Xenopus tropicalis: one gene and its partners. The protein of the gene in region 3 interacts with the protein of the main gene of each other region in a biochemical or structural test. Links are inferred from orthologs where the notes say so. Each region holds a gene or a part of one and is shown on either strand. Other genes may lie near its edges.

What was found.
Region 1: the proteins of nrip1 (region 3) and thra form a complex in vitro, tested with the Homo sapiens proteins (4 studies listed by BioGRID). The link is inferred for Xenopus tropicalis from reciprocal best matches to the Homo sapiens genes NRIP1 and THRA.
Region 2: the proteins of nrip1 (region 3) and rxra form a complex in vitro, tested with the Homo sapiens proteins (2 studies listed by BioGRID). The link is inferred for Xenopus tropicalis from reciprocal best matches to the Homo sapiens genes NRIP1 and RXRA.

What each region holds. Positions count from the first base shown.
Region 1 is NC_030686.2:9,187,748-9,191,999, forward strand, and holds the start of thra (thyroid hormone receptor alpha), read right to left. Parts: upstream 2,905-4,252; 5' UTR 2,503-2,904; intron 1-2,502.
Region 2 is NC_030684.2:8,063,494-8,067,775, forward strand, and holds the start of rxra (retinoic acid receptor RXR-alpha), read right to left. Parts: upstream 2,905-4,282; 5' UTR 2,592-2,904; coding exon 2,564-2,591; intron 1-2,563. UniProt on the Homo sapiens protein: Receptor for retinoic acid that acts as a transcription factor.
Region 3 is NC_030678.2:26,792,955-26,796,599, forward strand, and holds part of nrip1 (nuclear receptor-interacting protein 1), read right to left. Parts: coding exon 385-3,645; 3' UTR 1-384. UniProt on the Homo sapiens protein: Modulates transcriptional activation by steroid receptors such as NR3C1, NR3C2 and ESR1. Also modulates transcriptional repression by nuclear hormone receptors.

The DNA.
Region 1 (4,252 bases), on a different chromosome or scaffold from region 3:
ATAGTGATACAGGTCTTGTGCTTACACATATACCACTCAGGACTTTTATGGACCCCAAGCTTTACCCTCCTAGGGCCCTTCTGGGCTACAGGCTAGTCAGGGCTTACCTGGCCTGTAAACACTAGGCTCTCAGCATCTTTTTCCATTCCCATAAAGTTAACTCTGATTCACACAAACTTTCTATTTATTATCACCAATCATTTAGCTGCTTCACACACACACACACGTAAAGGCCTTTGCGGCTGTCACTGTCACACAAAGTATGTCTCAGCGCGTCACGGTGCCCACACCGGGTGCTCTTTTAGTCAGTGAAGAACTTGTGCTTCCTTAGGCCTGTCAGTTCCTCACATAAACACACATGGCAGCCAGTGCCTTATACACACCCACAGATAAGGCTTATTTCCGCTTCAGTTTTTGGGACGGCCATGGGACCTTGCAGCAGTCTCTCCAAGCCACACACCCCCACTCTCTAAACACAACGCACAAATCACGACAGCTGCCTGCATGACAGAGCGCCAGCACCACTTCAAAGGCCACCTGCAGGACGGACTAACCCATGGGTTCAGAAAGACAGCTACGCACTAAAAATGACCTACACACAGAGCCAGCAACAAAGAGAGAGCCATTTCACAAACGTAAACCTATGGCTACAGGCACTGCACCAAGGTGCCCGAAGAACCCACAGTTACAAATAACTAACATTTACCACACAAAATAGCCTTTTGCACCATACTAGAAAATTCCACAGGGTATAAGAATGTCTACGCAATAGCCGGGGGCATGTAGAACACAATGACTGTAGCTGAGAGTAAATACTGAGCATTATAGGCTATGCAAGATCTGATTGATAAAGGTGTATGGGGGGGGGGGGGTAGATTACACAGCACTTTGTTGCACCCGTCACACAACTGTGTGTGAGAGAAATTGTATTACAAAGAAATACAGTGCTAAATAAAGGGCACAATGGCGCTGACCGATATCAGACCGCTACACAACATGTGCAGGGACAGAGAGGTTAGTCAGGGGATAGTACAGGAGACCACACAAAGCGGCCCACACATCCACCAAACTCCACACTGTGCACAAGTGCAGGGCCTACGTGTGGCGCCTGGGCCTGGATCCCAGGAAACCTGTCATTGCTCCTAGGAGCACTTTTTTTTTCCGCCTGCAAAAAAAAAACCAACCCCTTCAGAAATATATTTTCACGTGATTGAAAGAAGTGAATGTTCTCCTGTAGGAGCAACAATGAAGGGTGGGGGTTAAACAGAACACATTCAGGCATCTCAGCGCTTCAGGGCATGAGATGGAAAAAAGGGGAGGCGTGGTGCAGAATTTAGGCAACAGGGAAGACATGGCGGGTTTCATGTGTACAATAAAGCCTTCACACTGCCCCTGCCAATAATCGGGCATGACTTTTTAACGCTTAAATGACTGTACTGATCTTTTCTCAGTGCGCACATGTGTATCGTACATACATGCAATGTGTGTCGCTTTGTGCACAATAAAGGGTCAGTAGGGCAGAAAGCGCCAATGCATGTAGCTAAGGGAAAATCCTCTGGGTTTAGGTGAAACTGGAATATAATATGATTATCTGGCTGCATGTATACGGGTAATTCAGTTTGTTTCCATGCCGAACGCTGCCAGAGAGTTCCATGTGCCTGTAGGGGTTTTATAGACTGGAAGAATCCGTATTGCAGGTCAGAAGAGTGAGAGCTCGGGCATGGAGCTTAACCATTTCCTAGCCAGCCTGCCTTAGACAACCTTGCCGGGCAGATCTCAGTCGCCCTATGTACACAGGCCGCATGTGCTTACTGGAGGCAAAGAAGCTTATAGGATCTTATAATGACAAGCACCCTCTGGAGTGTAACATATCAGGAGGAAGGGGGGTGGCAGGCACCTCTAAATTAACCTTAACTATCCCCCAGGGGGGGTCATCTCAACACTTCCCTAACTTTTATGCAACACTTATACTGTACACTTATAAAGAGTTGGTCATGGAATCAAGGGCTACAGGGGCCCCTAAAAAAGACACGTTTAATGCTTTACACAGAGCTACTACAGACAATGGTGATCATTTACTGATAATTGTCTCTACGTGTGTTTTAGCAGAGTCAATTCTCAGTATTGTCTATGGCAGGGGAGTTTAGCAGCCATGGCAAGTAGCTGCTACTAAGTAGCTCTGTGTGTCTTCACCCTAAGGCATACTTCTTATACTTATCTGGGGACCCCCCACTGGGAAAAGTGGGTTTGAGATGGCAGCCCCTGCATAGAAAGCTGCTGATCATGAGTGTGCAAGAGAGAACCAACACCCCCTCAAACCCACACACCTTGCAGGCAGCCCAATGCTGTCTCTTGTACACAAGAATGCACTGTGGGCCTCTACAGCAGGAGAGAAGTGTTTACATAGGAGATCGCATGCGATCAGGGCACAGAGTTCTCCAATATCGCAGTGTAGTTGCACCGCCCCCGCCCCAGTACAGTTCTGCACTAGAGATAACTCACCTCTTTGCACTGAAGACCCGGCCCAGGGGCTTTAAACCCCCCCCTTCCTCCTCTGATCTTCTTGCTGCTCCTGCTGCTCCTACTGCTGCTGCTGCTGCTGCCCGGAAAGGGGAACAGAGAACTTACAAAGAAAAAAAAAAGTGGGGGGGCGAAGACAGTGGGAAATGTGGCTAGTGAAAAAAAAAAACAGGTGGGGGGGCAGGCTCGTCCTTTTCAGCTTCCCCCCCAAAATCCCAAGGCTTTTACCCCCCCTCCAAGGTACAAAAAAATCATCAGTGGAAGGAGCAATGAAGTGTTGGCTTTGTATAGATCCCGCCTGTGTGTTACTGTACGTTTCCTGGCTGTTTGTCTCTCTTTCTTCTCTTCCCTCCGTGTGTCAGGGATACAGACAGAGAGGAAAGGGGAAAAAATCTAGTTCTACCCAGCTCCTCCCTCTGTGTCTGTGTATCATATCCTTCCAGTGCGGCAAGGCTGCCGCCGTACACCACCTGCAGGCTGCATTGGGAACTGACGGCCTTTCGCTTCTCCTGGGGGACAAGATTCTCAAGGAGTTGGAAGGAAGAACTGGGACCCCTGCTGACATAACTGTCTCTGTATACTGTCCTTTATTACACACCTCACAAATTCCAAATGGCAAAAATAAGTATACATATCCTATTTAGAACACACAGCCTGTCTGGCAGGATGCAACTCCTGGTAGAGGACTAAAGATCCCCATACACGTTAAGATCCGCTCACTTGGGGAGGTCGCCAAGCGAGCGGATCTTCTCCCGATATCCCCACCTACAGGTGGGCGATATCAGGTAAATTTAGGCTAAGTCGGTTGTTTGGCCCTTGGGCCAAACAATTGAATTACAACGTCGGTAACAGGGTCGGACTGGGGGGTGCAGGGCCCACCGGGGCTCCCGCCCCAGGGACCCTGCAGGTGCCCCAGCCGCGTCCCCTAACCCCCCCCCAGGGGCCCCCCTAACCCCCCCACAGGGCCCCCGCCTGACGTCCTCCCCGAGCACGTATAAATTGAACGTGTTGGGGAGGAACAGTCAGTAGCAGGGAGCGCTGGCAAAGGTCGGACTGGGCCGCTGTGGCCCACTAGGGTCGGGGCCCACCGGGATTTTGCCCCAGTCCGACCCTGGTCGGTAATAGGCACAGTCGGTTCGCATCAACGAGCTGATGCAGTCCCTGATCCGACTAAATTTTTCAATCTGCCCGATCGATATCTGCCCGATTTTAGGCCAGATGTCGGTTGGGCAGGCCCGTCGTTTGTGCCCCTACATGGGCCGATAAGCTGCCGAATCATCTAAGGGACTGATATGTATGGCCACCTTTACATGGATCTCTTTCTCTCAGCTGGGCCCTCGCTGTAATGTGGGATGAAGGGTTAATCACATTGAGTCATATTCTGAACTTTTTTTGCACAAAACAATAACTGTGGTTGGATCTTACACAATCTCTCTGTTGGCACAGTCATCTACCACTTCATAGACCCAGAGGTCAGGGGAAGCAGAAGATGTTTTTGGCTGGACGGGCAGGAGAGGGAGGATTTGTGGCACCCATAGCTTTTTGTGGACACGCCCACTTTTTGTGGCCAAAGAGAGCCCCCCTGAAGCTCACTTATCCGGAAACCCGTTATCCAGAAAGTTCCGAATTACGGAAAGGCCATCTCCCATAGACTACATTATAAGCAAATAATTCTCATTTTTAAAATGGATTTCCCTTTTCTCTGTAATAATAAAACAGTACCTGTACTTGA
Region 2 (4,282 bases), on a different chromosome or scaffold from region 3:
GACTCCTGATACAACTCCCCAATACCCATTCATCCCTCATTCTCACTGGGTTTATAGTTATGTGTAACTGTCACTGTGTCTGTCCCTTTCCCTTCCCTGCACTGCTGGTTCTGACTCCTGATACAACTCCCCAATATCCATTCATTCCTCATTCTCACTGGGTTTATAGTTATGTGTAACTGTCACTGTGTCTGTCCCTTTCCCTTCCCTGCACTGCTGGTTCTGACTCCTGATACAACTCCCCAATATCCATTCATTCCTCATTCTCACTGGGTTTATAGTTATGTGTAACTGTCACTGTGTCTGTCCCTTTCCCTTCCCTGCACTGCTGGTTCTGACTCCTGATACAACTCCCCAATACCCATTCATTCCTCATTCTCACTGGGTTTATAGTTATGTGTAACTGTCATTGCTATTGACTGTCAGTTTACTTTCTACTGAAACAATGTAGCAGAAGCAACTGACTGACAGACCAGGAGGGGGAACTGACTTCTGCTACATTGTTTCTCAAAGCCAGAACCAATCAAACATGAAGCTCCTGTGGCCCCTGCCTCCATTGCTTTATCGGGGCCCCTGGGGGGTGCAAGTAATAATATAAACATGACCCCGCCGGGCACCTGTAGGTGAGCTCTGTATGGGATCCCCCGCACCATTATCAGTAGGAATTACTGCACAACAAGTTGCCCGTGAACCTTGCCCCCTGGAGCTGCACTAGCCCCGCCCCCCTGTTCCTGCCCTGTGCCCCGCCGAGCCTTGGGTTGGCACAGGGTCCTGTTTAACCAGTCCAGTGCCCAGTCTGGTACCTGTACCCTCCAATGTCCCAATAAAGCACCAACAGGAGACACGGAGGGCTCCACCCCTGGCACCTACTGTGTCCATCAGTGCTGGGGCACCGGTGACCCCCCACCCCAATTAGGCAGTGTAATTATAGCCCAAAGGTACCCGGCCCAAAGCTAATTAATTGTACGTCATTCTGGTGCCCAGCAAAACACTTGAGGGACAAGAGCTTCTCAAGGAGAAGAGAAAATCTGGTGGGAAACTGTAGGGCGAGGAGGGGGCACCGACTGGCACCCCGTGGGAACCAGGTGCGCCAACAGGGGGGGTATTACAGTCAGTCGGGCAATGTTTGCCCCCAGTTCATTCCCAATAGCAGCCTGGTAACCGCACACTGGTTGCTGCGGGTAACTGAAGTGACTTGGTGCCAACGGCGGGCATTAATACTTTATTTACGGGAGACACGGATCCTTCCCGTCAAAGGAATTTAGCTTTTATTTATTTCATTCTCCGCTGCGCTGGGCAGGGGTCCTGGGGTATTAGGTCACTTGTGCCCTTGGCATTGCCCGTCACTAAATAAACAGACAGTACCGGTGTGAATACCCATGCGTTGTGGTGCCACCAGTGTGGCTTATCCCATAGGCAATAACAGTATGTATTTACATTGTGCCATCAATCACAATCAGGGGCATTTTCCTGCCAACGGGCAAGCGCCACCACCATTGAAACCGCCACCAGTGGCACCTTTTGGGCAATCTCTCTGCCAGACCCCCTTTAAAACCATAAGCATATACTGTATGCAGTATCCAATCAGCATGGCTACTTGGTTATGACTGTAAGATTCAGCATGGCGCAACGGAAATCGGTACAGTCGGCATGAATTTAATTAAATACTTCAATCGATGTCTCGGAAACACAGAAGGACCCAGAGTTGGCACTAAACGGGCACTGACGGGGGGGGAGATTATGGCTCCGTGCCCTTGGCTGCATCAGTAGGGTTAAGGGTTCAGCTTCCACCAATGAACTCACGGGTCACGGCACAGAAGGCATTATGGGTCCTTGTCCCAAATGCTTGCGATCAAATAAATCAGTGCGTCTCAGCTCGGGGCAGGGAAGTGGGTCTAAAAGCAGAGGGCCATGTCTACTAAGGTGTGCAGCTACCCCCCCCCCCCCCCCCCCCTGGCAGTAAGAGTGGCACAGCCTTTGATTAACCGGCCACAGGAGGATGCTGGGAACGGTAGTTTTACCATTTGCATAAGAATAGTTTAACCTCTCTGATGCCACCTTGGCAGATAAGGGGTTAAGAGCCATTCGCTGGCACTTGATACAATAGGAAGTTGCCCTTAGGGACAGTTACGGTATAATACCCCCCCCTTATATAACACCGATACATCCCGGGATCATAAACACCGAGGGCAGCAATTTCCCCTCTGCCCCCTCCTACTTTATGTAGTAGTAGTGACAGGGCAGGACCCCCCCCCCTGAACTTTTCTACCTGCTATAAACTACAACTCCCAGCATGCCCCAGCAGCCCAGGAGTCATAAGAGCAAGGAGCCTGGCATTGCTGCCCAATAACTTGTACCCATGTGTTTGTGCCCACTACCTGCTTGGCACTGCTGGGGGGGCTACCAGCCAAAGGGGGGGGTATGGAACTCTACAAGTGCATTGTGGGGGTTAAATGGCTGGAACAACAACACAAGGGGAGGCAGTGGGATGAGCAGGAGAGAGACAGATGCGGCAGTAGGTGCCCCCCACCCACAGCCCAGCACCCTGGCACCCAGTACTCACCCAGCGGCAGGAAATGCTTGGTGTCCATGGCTGGCTAACTCATGCCAAGCGCCTGGGGATGGGAAGAGGAGGCTGGGGGGCCCCGCAGTGATATCCTGTGCAGGAGAGCGATGGGCCGGCTGGGAGCAGGGGATCCGGGGGCCCCGGGGAGAGTCGGATCCAGCGGGGTCGGGGGCCCGGGCGGAGGAGTTTGCTGCAAACTCACCAACAATGTAAGGAAAGTAGTTGTCCTGCCTCCCCGCTCCAACTCCTCAGGCTGCAATGCAACGGGGCCCCGCCGAGGGGAGCAGCGACGGCCGAGCCCTCCGCCAGTGACACAGCGCAGAGGGGGGAGCCGGGATACGGGGACTGGGGAGAGAGGCGGAGCGGGGGCCCCCTAGGGGCGCTCAGGGGAAATGCGGCTCTACCCACAGAATCGCACCGAACTCTTTCCCACTCGCTAATTGCCCAGCAGCCTGGCACTTACCCTGGCACTTACCCTGGCACTCACACTGACTGGCACTTACCCTGGCACTCACACTGACTGGCACTCACACTGGCACTGACTGACACTCACACTGGCACTGACTGACACTCACACTGACTGGCACTCACACTGGCACTTACCCTGGCACTTACCCTGGCACTCACACTGACTGGCACTTACCCTGGCACTCACACTGACACTCATACTGGCACTCACATTGACACTCACACTGACTGGCACCCACACTGACACTCACACTGATTGGCACCCACACTGGCACTCACACTGACTGGCACTTACCCTGGCACTCACACTGACTGGCACTCACACTGGCACTTACCCTGGCACTTACCCTGGCACTCACACTGACTGGCACTTACCCTGGCACTCACACTGACACTCATACTGGCACTCACATTGACACTCACACTGACTGGCACCCACACTGACACTCACACTGACTGGCACTCACACTGACTGGCACTTACCCTGGCACTCACACTGACTGGCACTTACCCTGGCACTCACACTGACACTCATACTGGCACTCACATTGACACTCACACTGACTGGCACCCACACTGACACTCACACTGACTGGCACCCACACTGACACTCACACTGACTGGCACTCACACTGACTGGCACTTACCCTGGCACTCACACTGACTGGCACTTACCCTGGCACTCACACTGACTGGCACTCACACTGACTGGCACTTACCCTGGCACTCACACTGACTGGCACTCACACTGGCACTCACACTGACTGGCACTTACCCTGGCACTCACACTGACTGGCACTCACACTGGCACTTACCCTGGCACTCACACTGACTGGCACTTACACTGGCACTCACACTGACTGGCACTTACCCTGGCACTCACACTGACTGGCACTCACACTGGCACTTACCCTGGCACTCACACTGACTGGCACTTACACTGGCACTCACACTGGCACTTACCCTGGCACTCACACTGACTGGCACTCACACTGACTGGCACTCACACTGACTGGCACTCACACTGGCACTTACCGTGGCACTCACACTGACTGGCACTTACACTGGCACTCACACTGGCACTTACCCTGGCACTCACACTGACTGGCACTCACACTGGCACAGCCTGGCACTCATACTGACTGGCACTTACACTGGCACTCACACTGACTGGCACTTACCCTGGCACAGCCTGGCACTCATACTGACTGGCACTCACACTGGCACTGACTGGCACTCACACTGGCA
Region 3 (3,645 bases):
ATTCATTGTCTGCAATAGGACAAGTTATTGTGTAACTATTAAAAGACGAACATGTAAGGCAAATATTGGAAACCAGCCATCAACAGCACATTTGTCTTTTATAATTTATAACATCATTTTTTTCCCAAGCAGTGGGAATAAAATACCCTAAAGGAAAAAAAAAAAATATCACAGAACCAAAAAAAATGTAGAAACCATAATAGCAAAATCTGTACATTTTTCAAATAAGCTATAGCCACAAGCAATATAACCAACCAAAATATATGAGATGAAAAACATGTCAAGAAGATCATGCTTTATATCTCTTGTCTTCATGCCTGATACTCTAAAAATGATGCATTCTTTTTGGGTTTATTAACAACCTGGCTATTCAAATCTGTTGTATTATTCAGGCTCTTTCTTAATTGCCAGTATATCAAGAAGTCCATACTTGTTACCACTGGAATTATGCAATGTCTTATTTACAACAGGAGTGGTTGTTTTCATCATACCACTGCCGTTTGGGGTGGTTCCTCTACAATTGACCATCTCTCTTTTTAATGTCATTTCTGTGGCATTGCCTAGTAAGGACGCAGTCCAACTGCCTCGATCTCGCAGCTCCTGGCCTCCAGCAGAATGTGCTCCTTTCTGCAGCATGTAGTACAATATTGGGTTGGTTTTGGTCAACCTTGGGGAATCCTTTCCAACATCATTCTTTTCCATACCTGTGATAACCCATTTAATTGGGCCTTTGTCATTAGGAACAGGGCACATATTGATTTGTCCAGATTCAGTCCGAGATGTTTTATGTATCAAACTGTCTGAAGGTGGGTGAGGAGAATTCTTTAAAGTGGATGGACACTGAAATGTCATTTGACCTAAACTGTTTGTTTGGTTGGACATTTTCCCCATATGCACATTTAATGGAGGTGTTACAAAATCAGAACTGCCAGCAAGGTGACTTCTGTTCCCCTTTACCATATCATCCACCAATATGTTATTCCTATGCTGAGACAAATCTCTGACACAATTCTCTGAAAGTAACAATTGTTTCAGCACATTAAAACCTTTGCTTTCCCTTGACCAACCCAAATGTTTTCCTTCGTTTAAGGAGTTCTGAGTTAAATTGCACCGAGGGTCCATGCCACTTTTGTTACTATATGTTTCATCCTGAAGAAACATTGGCCCACTCAATGGCGGTGGAGAATAATAGTGCCCACTTTCAGAAGGACTGAGTTTTGCTAGTTTTACTTGACTTTCTAAAGGCTCATGTTGGTGCATTTTTCTCTTTTTTGGAACAGTGCAGTGGATTTTTGTTTCTGTTTGTCTGGATTCACCATTTCTGTTGGTAAAATCTGGGTCACTAATTTCATACCCATTGTGGTTCTGTGTAAGCAAGCGGCTTAGTAGCCCATTTCTGGAAACGGAAAAATCCTGTGGAGTGAGGTTTGGAGATTTCATGCCCTCTGGAGTTGATCTGGAAAAACCATGAAAAGACATTGCCAGTGGACTAGGAATTCCAGTGTCTCTTAAATGCTGTGTGCTGTAGGCGTCCTCAGGCTCGCTTTTGATTTTAAAAGATACTATGTGTTCACTTGCATTTTTTTCTACCCTGTCTTGTTGATTTTCATCTTTGATTGTGATATTTGGACTCTTTTCAAGTTTCCCCTTATTTGGTGTTCCGAGAAGAAGCTGTAAAACAGTACGTCTTTCTAAAAGGTTTTCAATCTCTGAGCCAGGAAATCTGGAGTCTGATGGAGTAGGTGGGCTACTAAAAGATGTGTCCTCCTCAAAGGCATGAGATTGATTGGTAATCAGGGGGCTACTTAACCTGTCGATCAGTCCTAGAGTTTTACCATTAGGTGCACTGACTGTTTTTTGCACTTTTTGCTCATCGGGTGCAGCTGTTTGCAGCCCGCATTGAGCTAAATTCTGTAGAAGTTTACTGGCACTGAAAGCAGCATTACATTGTGCACTCTCGTTTACTACTGGGGTGGGGTTATGAAATGATTTGTTCCTCGTCAGCTCTATCAAATGTTTTGAGGCCGCATTCACATGTCTTTCTGACTGAATGTTACTTATGTAAGATGTGAACGTATTTTTTGGTGGAAAAGGCTGGCTCAGGTTAACAGGGGAATCCGATTTCAAACTATTGTTTATAGGTAATGTATTTAATGAAGCAGAATTATGTACATGAGTGTTTTCAGATCCATGTCGTTGAATTGGCAAGTTGAACTTTGTCAGATCAGAACGTTTCTGTGAACCCTGAAGATCTTCCATCTTTTCGGGATTTTCATCTGCCTTATGCCCAAGTAGTAACTGTAACAGGGTCACCTTCTGATGTGGTTTTAACGTGGAGTCCAATGAAGGGTCTCTGTTATTATCTTTGTTGATGACAAGTCCTTCAACTTTTGGATCCCAGTTTTTAAGCAAGGATTCTGTTAAGTTGTCTATGGAAGCCGTATTTAACACCTCTGGCTTATCTACTCGGTTTTTGAATGACAAGTCAATGGGTGCACAGTTAGAGTGACTACTTTCATCATCGCTGGTTTCATCTTCTGTAAAACTAGGGTTGTTGTCAGAAAAGTCATCTGTGGTTGTTGGTGTTGCACTTTCTTCAAACACGGGAATCTTTTCGCTTTGAAGGTTGCATTTGTTCATATTTGTAGCGTTCTGGCTTTTAAGAAGATGTAGCAGCAAGCTGTTATTTGGAGAGGGCTTCAGGTGATTTTTTTCTGAATGAGTCTTATATCCTACTGATTTAAGTGGAGAATGAGGGACACTTAATGGACTTGAAAAGGGAGAAATGTTACCAATATTACTTATACCATTGGAAATAGTTGTTCTTGCAGGGCTGTTGAGTGGTGTGGGCAAATTTGTCGACATAGGAAAATGACCATGGTCCTTCTCTGAGGTCTCTTTTAATCTTGCCATTGCTGCTAGCCTTTCGCTTGCTAACTGACTAGCACTTTGTGCTTTTACAGCATGCTCTCTGGAGTATTGTTGCAAGTGAGCCTCGCTAGAAAGCAGCAATGCCAACTGGCTACATGCAACACTTGGTTTAGGCGAGACAGTAGGACTCGACCTCTTCTCTACCATACTTGCAACAGCCTGAAGTCTTGCAGCGCATGAAATCGGCTCAGCAGCTCCTGCTTTCGTGCTGCTTTGCCCAGAGTGTGAAGATTTTTCTTGAATTGAGGCTTTAGCAGTCATTTTACTATCTGTTACTTTCTCTTTTGATCTGCTTTTGTTTAACAAAGTTTTAAGGTGGTTGGATGCCAGGCCCAAACACTGGTTATTCTTCTCCTCGTGTACAGTCTCCTGGCCAAGAGAAAAGCCTTGTTCTTCGAGACTCTGTTTAAGTTGTTGTGACAGAGCGACGCTCTGGAGTCTAGAGCTGAAAGACTGAAGCAGAGACGCCAGTAATGTACTATCCTGCTTGCCTTTGGGTGCGTTTGCAACCATGCCGGCCAAGAACGTTTCATTTTTGCCATTTACGCCAGGAACAGAATCCGACAGTCGTCTCCTCTTTGCAGCATTCCAGTCCTCTGAAGACTGCAACAGCCTTGCCTTTTTGAGATGCAGCATTCCAGATCCCTGACAAGGGCTGCTGTTGTTGCGAATTGGGGCATTACTTTCACAATTGGAAAATATATTTCCAGAATT